Cricetulus griseus: one gene and its partner. Each later gene encodes a partner of the first gene's protein in a complex. Links are inferred from orthologs where the notes say so. Each region holds a gene or a part of one and is shown on either strand. Other genes may lie near its edges. The genes, in order: Tnfsf13b and Tnfrsf13c.

Evidence for each region.
Region 2: the proteins of Tnfsf13b (region 1) and Tnfrsf13c are in contact, whole or in part, in a crystal structure (PDB 1OQE), measured with the Homo sapiens proteins. The link is inferred for Cricetulus griseus from reciprocal best matches to the Homo sapiens genes TNFSF13B and TNFRSF13C. Residues at the interface, in NP_006564.1 of Homo sapiens: Ser162, Tyr163, Asp203, Thr205, Tyr206, Ala207, Met208, Gly209, His210, Leu211, Thr228, Arg231, Cys232, Ile233, Pro264, Arg265, Glu266, Asn267, Ala268; in NP_443177.1 of Homo sapiens: Asp26, Leu27, Leu28, Val29, Arg30, Val33, Leu37, Leu38, Arg39, Pro41, Arg42.

The regions. Positions count from the first base shown.
Region 1 is NW_023276807.1:70,487,074-70,490,707, reverse strand, and holds part of Tnfsf13b (tumor necrosis factor ligand superfamily member 13B), read left to right. Parts: intron 1-1,782; coding exon 1,783-1,895; intron 1,896-1,979; coding exon 1,980-2,130; intron 2,131-3,634. UniProt on the Homo sapiens protein: Cytokine that binds to TNFRSF13B/TACI and TNFRSF17/BCMA. TNFSF13/APRIL binds to the same 2 receptors. Together, they form a 2 ligands -2 receptors pathway involved in the stimulation of B- and T-cell function and the regulation of humoral immunity.
Region 2 is NC_048595.1:379,361,455-379,365,370, reverse strand, and holds the start of Tnfrsf13c (tumor necrosis factor receptor superfamily member 13C), read left to right. Parts: upstream 1-1,526; 5' UTR 1,527-3,916. UniProt on the Homo sapiens protein: B-cell receptor specific for TNFSF13B/TALL1/BAFF/BLyS. Promotes the survival of mature B-cells and the B-cell response.

The DNA of each region.
Region 1 (3,634 bases):
TCTGTCCCGCTCCACCTCAGGGGCCGCACCATTCTTGGGAAATCACTCCAAGGAGGGAGTGCACACAGACATAGGCTGAGGAGGAAGAAGATTCGTCATGTGTCTGTATCTATCTGCCCATGTCCAGCACCACCGCCTCCCTGCCCGCTTCCTCCCAGCCACCCCAGCATCTTCCTCAGCCCCATCTATGTGTGGTAGTGCTGTACTTGAGGAGGTAATTTAATGACTTTTACTCACTGTGACTTGAATTCACAGTGACATCTGCTTTGTTTTACTGCTGATGTTTTGCAATTCCTTTAACATATTTGGAAAATACGTGGTTCTTGTTTAGTCTTCTTCTGGTGAGGGCCTTATTTGAATTGGGTATATAAATTAGTGCACCCATTGTACAAAAATATATAGAGTCCCCTCCCCCAAGTTAAAAGTAGAACTGCAGTGTGATTTAGCAACCCCACTTCTGGGTTTATAGATAAAGAAAACTAAATCAAAGAGACACCCATTCTCCCAAGTTCATTGCAGTACCTATCACAGCAGCCAAGAAATCAACCCGATGCCCATCAACAGGGGAATGGGTAATGGTGACTCAGGGCATGAAGCAATGACTACCATGTGGCCGTAGAATGGAAGGGTATCCCGTCCTTTGTCACAGCGTGGATGAACCTGTGAGACAGAGACACAGTGATGTAAACGTGAATGGGGTTCTCTTCACCTCTTTAGGACTCACCTGATTGGCCCTTGAATCCTCCTCTCCGCCCTTTGGTTGACAGAGGTGATGCTTTAAAAGAGGCTCACTATTTCTCACTGTACCAGAATGCTCTGGCATCTTTACACTCACACCACAGCGCTGCTTACTATGGTGTCCTCACTGTGCCATGACCCTGGTCCTCTGCCAGTTGCTTTCCTTCAGTCTTCTTTATATCTCTTCTCATTGTCTAGCTTTGAGGTTTAACCTAAAGCCAATGTTTTCATACTGCAACTGTGCACACTCCGGCGTGAGTAAGCTTTTTCTTAGGAAATGTGTGCTTGCAGATCTCCCTGAGATCTAGGCAACATCTGCTGTATTGTTTGGCTTGGTTCCCTCTGCTGCTCTCTCTGCCCTCTCTGTCTTCCTTCAATACAGGCTGGAGCACAGTGTCTTCCTGTCACTCTGGATAGGAAATGCAGACAGCGATGGAGACATAGCCTGTACTGTGAAGTGCTCAGAACCCATCATAGCCAATGTTGTACTCCTGGTACATGGGTTCTGAGCACTTCCAAGTACAGGGTATGTCTCCGTTGCTGACCGAACTTCCTAGTTGTGTTCTGCTGCCAGATTTACTTCCTCCAGACACATTTTGTTGATTTCTTCACCTGATTACTCAGAAGATAGAAGAAGATACTCTTGAGTGTGCTGTGCAGGGGAGCATCCAATTCTCTCTTTCTGGCTTTCCCACCCAAACCAACTTTAATAAGGAAATAGCCAATATACAAAACAAGGAAAGAAACCCAAACATTCCTGTGGAGTGAAGTCTGTTAGGCACCAAGGTTACCCATGCTAAAATATGTAATAGCACAATGAAGATTTTCTTCTTCTTCTTCTTCTTCTTCTTCTTCTTCTTCTTCTTCTTCTTCTTCTTCTTCTTTTTCTTCTTCTTCTTCTTCTTCCTCTTCCTCCTCCTCTTCCTCCTCCTCCTCCTTCTCCTTCTCCTCCTCCTTCTTCTCCTTCTTCTATTTCCCTTCTTGGTGGAAGGGAAAACTGCTTTTCTCAGTTTGCTTTCTTATGAGATATTATCTCTACTACAGGATCCTACACATTTGTTCCATGGCTTCTCAGCTTTAAAAGAGGAAGCGCCTTGGAGGAAAAAGAGAACAAAATCGTGGTGAAGCAAACGGGTTACTTCTTCATCTACAGCCAGGTAGTGTCAGACCTTTCCTCATCTTTCCTGGTCCAGTGCTTCCACAGTCTTGCATATCTGACAACATCTTGGCTTGTTTCTCAGGTTCTATACACAGATACCATTTTTGCCATGGGACATCTTATCCAGAGGAAGAAAGTGCATGTTTTTGGGGACGAGCTCAGTCTGGTGACCCTGTTCCGATGCATTCAGAATATGCCAAGAACACTGCCCAACAATTCCTGCTACTCAGCTGGTATGAAGCTGTCCTAAGACTTGTTTAACAGGATAATGTAGACTGTGCTGGGGAAATCTGATCCCCCCAAAGTGGTTCTTTGTGATCTTAATGGAAAGGCCTTCTTCTGTAGACCATACTGTTTATTTTGCAATAGTTTGTGTTAATTGAGAAAACCAGTGTTGTCACTAATGGTCAAGCCATTTTTATAAAAATTAAGAAGGTGGCTGAAGAGACAGCTAAGCAGAGAAGGGCACTTGCTATTTTTCCAGAGGACCCAGGCTTGATTCCTAGCACCCACATGGCAGCTCACAACTGCTGGGATTTCTAGACCTAGGGCACCTGACACCCTCTCCAGTCACCTTGGGCACTGTACATGCATAGAGCCCATATATCCATGCAGGAAAAATACAAAAACACACATGAAAAATATTTAAATGAAATAATTGTGTTTTAAAAATTAAGAATGAGTGTCACAGGGTTTAACATTGGAGCGATAATTATTTTTCTTCTATCCCGTGACAAAGTATATGATTTTTAGTCCTTCTTATATCATTGTTACACTCTTTAGCCACCTTTCTCTTCTGTGGTGTCCCTTCTTCTTCTAAGCAAGCCCCTCCTGCTTTCCTGTCTTTTTCTGTGTTAGCCCCACTGAGATTAATTATGGTAGCTTCATGAGCATGGGAGGGAGGTTATGGAGCCTGAGCAGCGTTTTAGTAGTTACACTACTGAAGACAATGACAGTTGTCTGCCCCTTCCCCAGAAGCCATGAACTGTCAATAGTCTTCCAGGAGAGGTGTGGGTTCACAAGCCCCTCCCTAATCCCGGAAGCAGAGCTGAGGGTCCCAGTCTTGTTCTGGTGCTGTGCAGGAAACCACAGTTGCAGCAACAGGAACAATGTCTACTCATTGGGAAAATTCTGGTCTTTCTTTTGCTGCTCAGTTATCTGTCTGCTTCACCATCTGCCAGTCATGCTTCCTTACTTTTGTAACATTCCCATGTGAGGGAGAATGCCAGCCACAGAAGTAACATGGCTGCTCCTTAAGTGCCTCAGCCTCAAGTTACAGCACTGCTGTCCCCACAATGTGAGTGTGTAATGGAAACAATGACCCCACTCATCTCTGAGTGCAAGGAAGAGCATATTGCAGAATGCCTGGGTTAGTTCTCATGGGAAAACAGGTGGCCTTGTACACATGACTAGTTGTGAACTCAAAATTGCAAGAGAAGCCTTGCATGTAGCTCAGGGACACAGATGCTCAGGGACACAGATGCGCAGGGAAGACAGACTGTATCAGTTCCAGTCTCTCCACTCTGGAACTGGCAACATTTTACTCATTTTGTTTCAAATTAATAGGCACTGGTATTAGAAAACTGTTTTCCCTATTAGGCATGTGTGTTTCTCTCTACTGGCCTTCACAAACCTATTCAGAACCGGAAGAATGTCTTTAGTCTCAGACAGTTACAGCAAACAGCAATGTGAAAGCCAGGATTGTGAAATACCTCTAAAGTATCTGAAAGGTCTTTA
Region 2 (3,916 bases), on another chromosome or scaffold:
TTGAAAGAAAATGGGCCCAGGAGGTGTGGCCTTGTTGGAGGAAGTGTGTCACTGGGGGTGGACTTTGAGGTCTCATATGCTCAAGCCACGCTCTGACAACTTCCTGTTGCCTGTGGTATTAAGATGAAGCTTCTCTACTCTCAGCTCCTTCTCCAGCACCATGTCTGCCTGCACACTGCCTTGCTTCCCGCCATGATAACAATAAACTAAACCTCTGAAACTGTAAGCCACCCCAATTAAATGTTTTCCTTTATAAGAGTTGCTGTGGTCATAGTGTCTCTTTAGAGCAGTAGAAACCCTAAGGCATACATCATACACACAAATAATAAAATAAAAATTTGGTTGTTTTTTAAGCAAGAGTCTTGTGTAGACCAGTCTTGCCTTGAACTCCTAATCCTGCTGCTCCATCCCACCCCAAGTGCTGGCATTATAGGTGAAATCCTCAGCACTGAGGAGAAAGAAAGAAAAGAATGCATTGAAGTCATAGCAAATTGTTCAAAGTGAAAATTGTTGTTTTTTTTTTTTTTTTTAAGGGCTGGTAGGTTGGGCTGTGTAGGGAGCCATCCCTGCATTCTCCATTACAATGATGGTGCCTGCAGGCACTGAATGTAAATTATTTCGCAGGCGCTGGGTAATTTCCATTTCTTTGATCTCTGCCTATCCCGTGGCTCATATGGCCTGAGGAGCTGAAGCCATTCATAGGGTGACACGTCCCAGGCGGGGCTGCCAGCCTTTATTAGGGGACGGGATTCTTGGCTCGGGGTCTCCGCTCTGGTAAGCTTATGCTCTCCTCTCTCAAGATGCATTAAAGCTTTCCTGCAGAAGGATCCGAGTGTCCTGTGTGATTCTTGCCGGCGAGAACATAGCGTGGGACAGGGCTGGTGGAATGTGTGTTTAGGCCCAGCTACTCAAGAGGCAGAGGCAAGAAACTTGCTTGATCTTTGAAGTTTGAGGTCAGCCTAGGCAACATGGCAGTATCCTGTCTGTCATAAAGAGATTTATAAATAACAAAATCCATAAAAACAAATTAAAAAGCAAAAATCTGTTAGAAGGAAAATGTGCAAGCACTACAGTGAATTGGAACTAATTTCTTGGTAGTCTCATAGTCAAAAGTGACACAGAAGAACTTCTGGCTTGAGAAGGTGGCACTGGAGGATATGCTAGCCCCGGGGAGACACAGAAGCCCACCTCCTCTAGACTATGCCCTTTGTGGCTCTCCACTGCTTCTTCCTCAGTAAGCTAGAAATGTTATGTGGAAGGATGAACTTGGGGTTGGAGAGATGGCTCAGTGGTTAAGAGCACTGATTGCTCTAGAGGTAGAGGACCTGGGTTCAGTCCCCAGTGTCCACATGATGGCTCACATCTGCCTGCAACTCCAGTTCCCAGGAATCTTAAGCCCTTTTCTGGCCTCTGAAGGTTCTTGCACACACATGGTGGACAAACATACACTTAGACAGACAGACAGACAGACAGACACACACACACACACACACACACACACACACACACACAGTATTACTCCAGAGGCAGAGGCAGGCAGATTTCTGAGTTCAAGGCCTGCCTGGTCAACACAGTTTCAGGACAGCCAAGGCTACAAAGAGAAACTCTTTCTCAAAAAACAACAGCAACAACAAAAGCAAAACTAGCCCAGCAGTGGTGACTCAGGACTTTAATCTCATCACTTGGGAGGCAGAGTCGGGCAGATCTCTGAGTTCAGGGACAGCCTGGTCTACAGAGCAAGTTCCAGCACAGCCAGGGCTAGTACACAGAAACTCTCAAAAATAAATAAATAAATAAACAAACAAACTTGATTTAACAGCTATGAAAAACAATACATTGACGTATAGCCTAACATTGCCTACATTGGTGAGTACCACCTCATTCCCTCTGCCTTTCCCTCTTGGTCTTGTTATCACTTGATGGGTCTCATAGCCCAGGATGGACTCCTCAAACCTACTATGTAGCCCAAGGATAGCCTTGAGCTCCTGGGCCTCTTCTGCCTCTGCCTCCCTAGTGCTAGCTGATATTACAAGTGTATTCCATTATGCCAAATTTATACCACACCATCCGGATGGAACCCAGAGCTGCTTTGTGCATGCTAGGCAAACATTACACAGCTGAGTTACATCATTAGTCCCAAGTCTCTCCTCTTAACCATGTAATCATCCAAGCAGAGATTCAAGGACTGTCACAGCCTCCACCCCACCCCCATAGAGACACAAGTGAAAATACTTGGCTGAGGTTGAGCACCTGTACATGTCAGACGTGAATCCCACAAGCCTTTGCTGTCGCCGGCTTAGTCTAGCTCCTTAGTCTATGGGCTCGATGGGGCCCATAGGAAATGCCCAATAAACATTTGTGTCATGTGAGTAATTTTGCTTCTGTCCTCCCAGACCTCAAACGTCCCTCTCTGGCTGAAGTGAAGGATTCTTTCATTGTGACTGAATTACAGCCCTCTTGCTTCATACCCGGAGATGGCCTGTCTGCTGCAGGAGCCTGAGTAACTAGTAATCCTCATCCTGTTGTGAAGTAGCATCTCCTTGCAGGGCAGCTTCCTTTGTGTGGCCCTTGGGAATTTTCCCAACCTGGGCCCTGCTGGGCTTCCCTCTCCCAGGACTAGATTGCTGGCCCTGGGTTTCCATGAACCCCAGGCTCTTCTTCAGTGTCAGTATCGGACACAACAGTTAAGATGCCTGGTGCATAGGCTGGGCTCCATAGCCCTAACAATGATTGAGTAACAGCAACTCAGTAGTGACAGAGGGGGTGTGAGCAGAGGGTTGCAGCCAAGACTTCTGGTCTTAACCTTCATGCCTCTCAACTATAAGAAGGGCTGGCTCCTGCCCTGGCTCCTCTCGGTGCTCCTTCCCTTTCTCCACCTCCCCATACACCCACACCCACACCCACCTCCCCACACCCACTTCTCCTTTGCAGCTACCCTGCCGCCTACACCTTCCTGCCTTCAAGTTGCTGGCCCATAGGCAAGGGGATGGAAAGGCAATGGGCCAGAACCCCGAGAGACTGACTGACTAGGGTTCTGTGTGAGTCCCCAGGATCTCCAGTGACGCGCTTTGATTCTTTCACTCCGTGTTCAGCTCTGCACCTTCCCCTACCCTGTACTAGAGCACCAGCCTCCTTGCCTCTCCAAAGGCTGCAGCCTCTGGATGCAGCCACAGAGCCCTTGTGAGTCAAGGCAGTGAGACGCACACCCAAACACTCCATGTCTCCTCACTGCCAGGCCTCATTCTCCAGCTGGACCCTGTCCATCTTCAGCAATGGTGCTCTCCTTTATCCCAGCACCCCACAGCAGTGGCCATGTCTGTCCCCCAGCATGTATGTGTACAGCCCTTCACCATCGCAGGCCTTTCCCATGCCATTTCCCCTTGAAGCTGCTAAAGATATCCCTCAGCCCCTAACCCTGAGGCCCACCAGGGGACTCCAGGCCTGAGCTCCCAGCTGGGAGCTCCCTCAGGCCCTTTGCAGCCCATGACTCCTGGGAAGGGGGCTACATATGTCCCAAGCTTCAGAGAGCTTGTTTGTATGACTGACAGGGTTTGAGAGAAACTGATGAGGGGCAAGTGGGAAACTAACACTGGGGACCCAAAGCCTGATAGAGCAGGGGCCTGGGCAAGGCACAAGCACGACCAAGCAGGGTCACAGGGCTCCAGGGAAAGAACTGCAGGGAGACAGGTTTTGCTAATCTGCAGATCCCCACCCCCTCCAGCTCTGCTTGCTTCAAGCTCCCCAGCACCCTGCTGCCAGAGTCCAAGCTTTCTATTGTTCTAGCCTGTTGTCCACCACCCCCCAAGTCCCAGCATTTCTTGGCCTTTCCATTTGTGCAACCAAGCTTTGTTTGTTTGTTTTTGGTCTACACAGAGACAGGGTTTCTCTGTGTAGCTTTGGAGCCTGTCCTGGAACT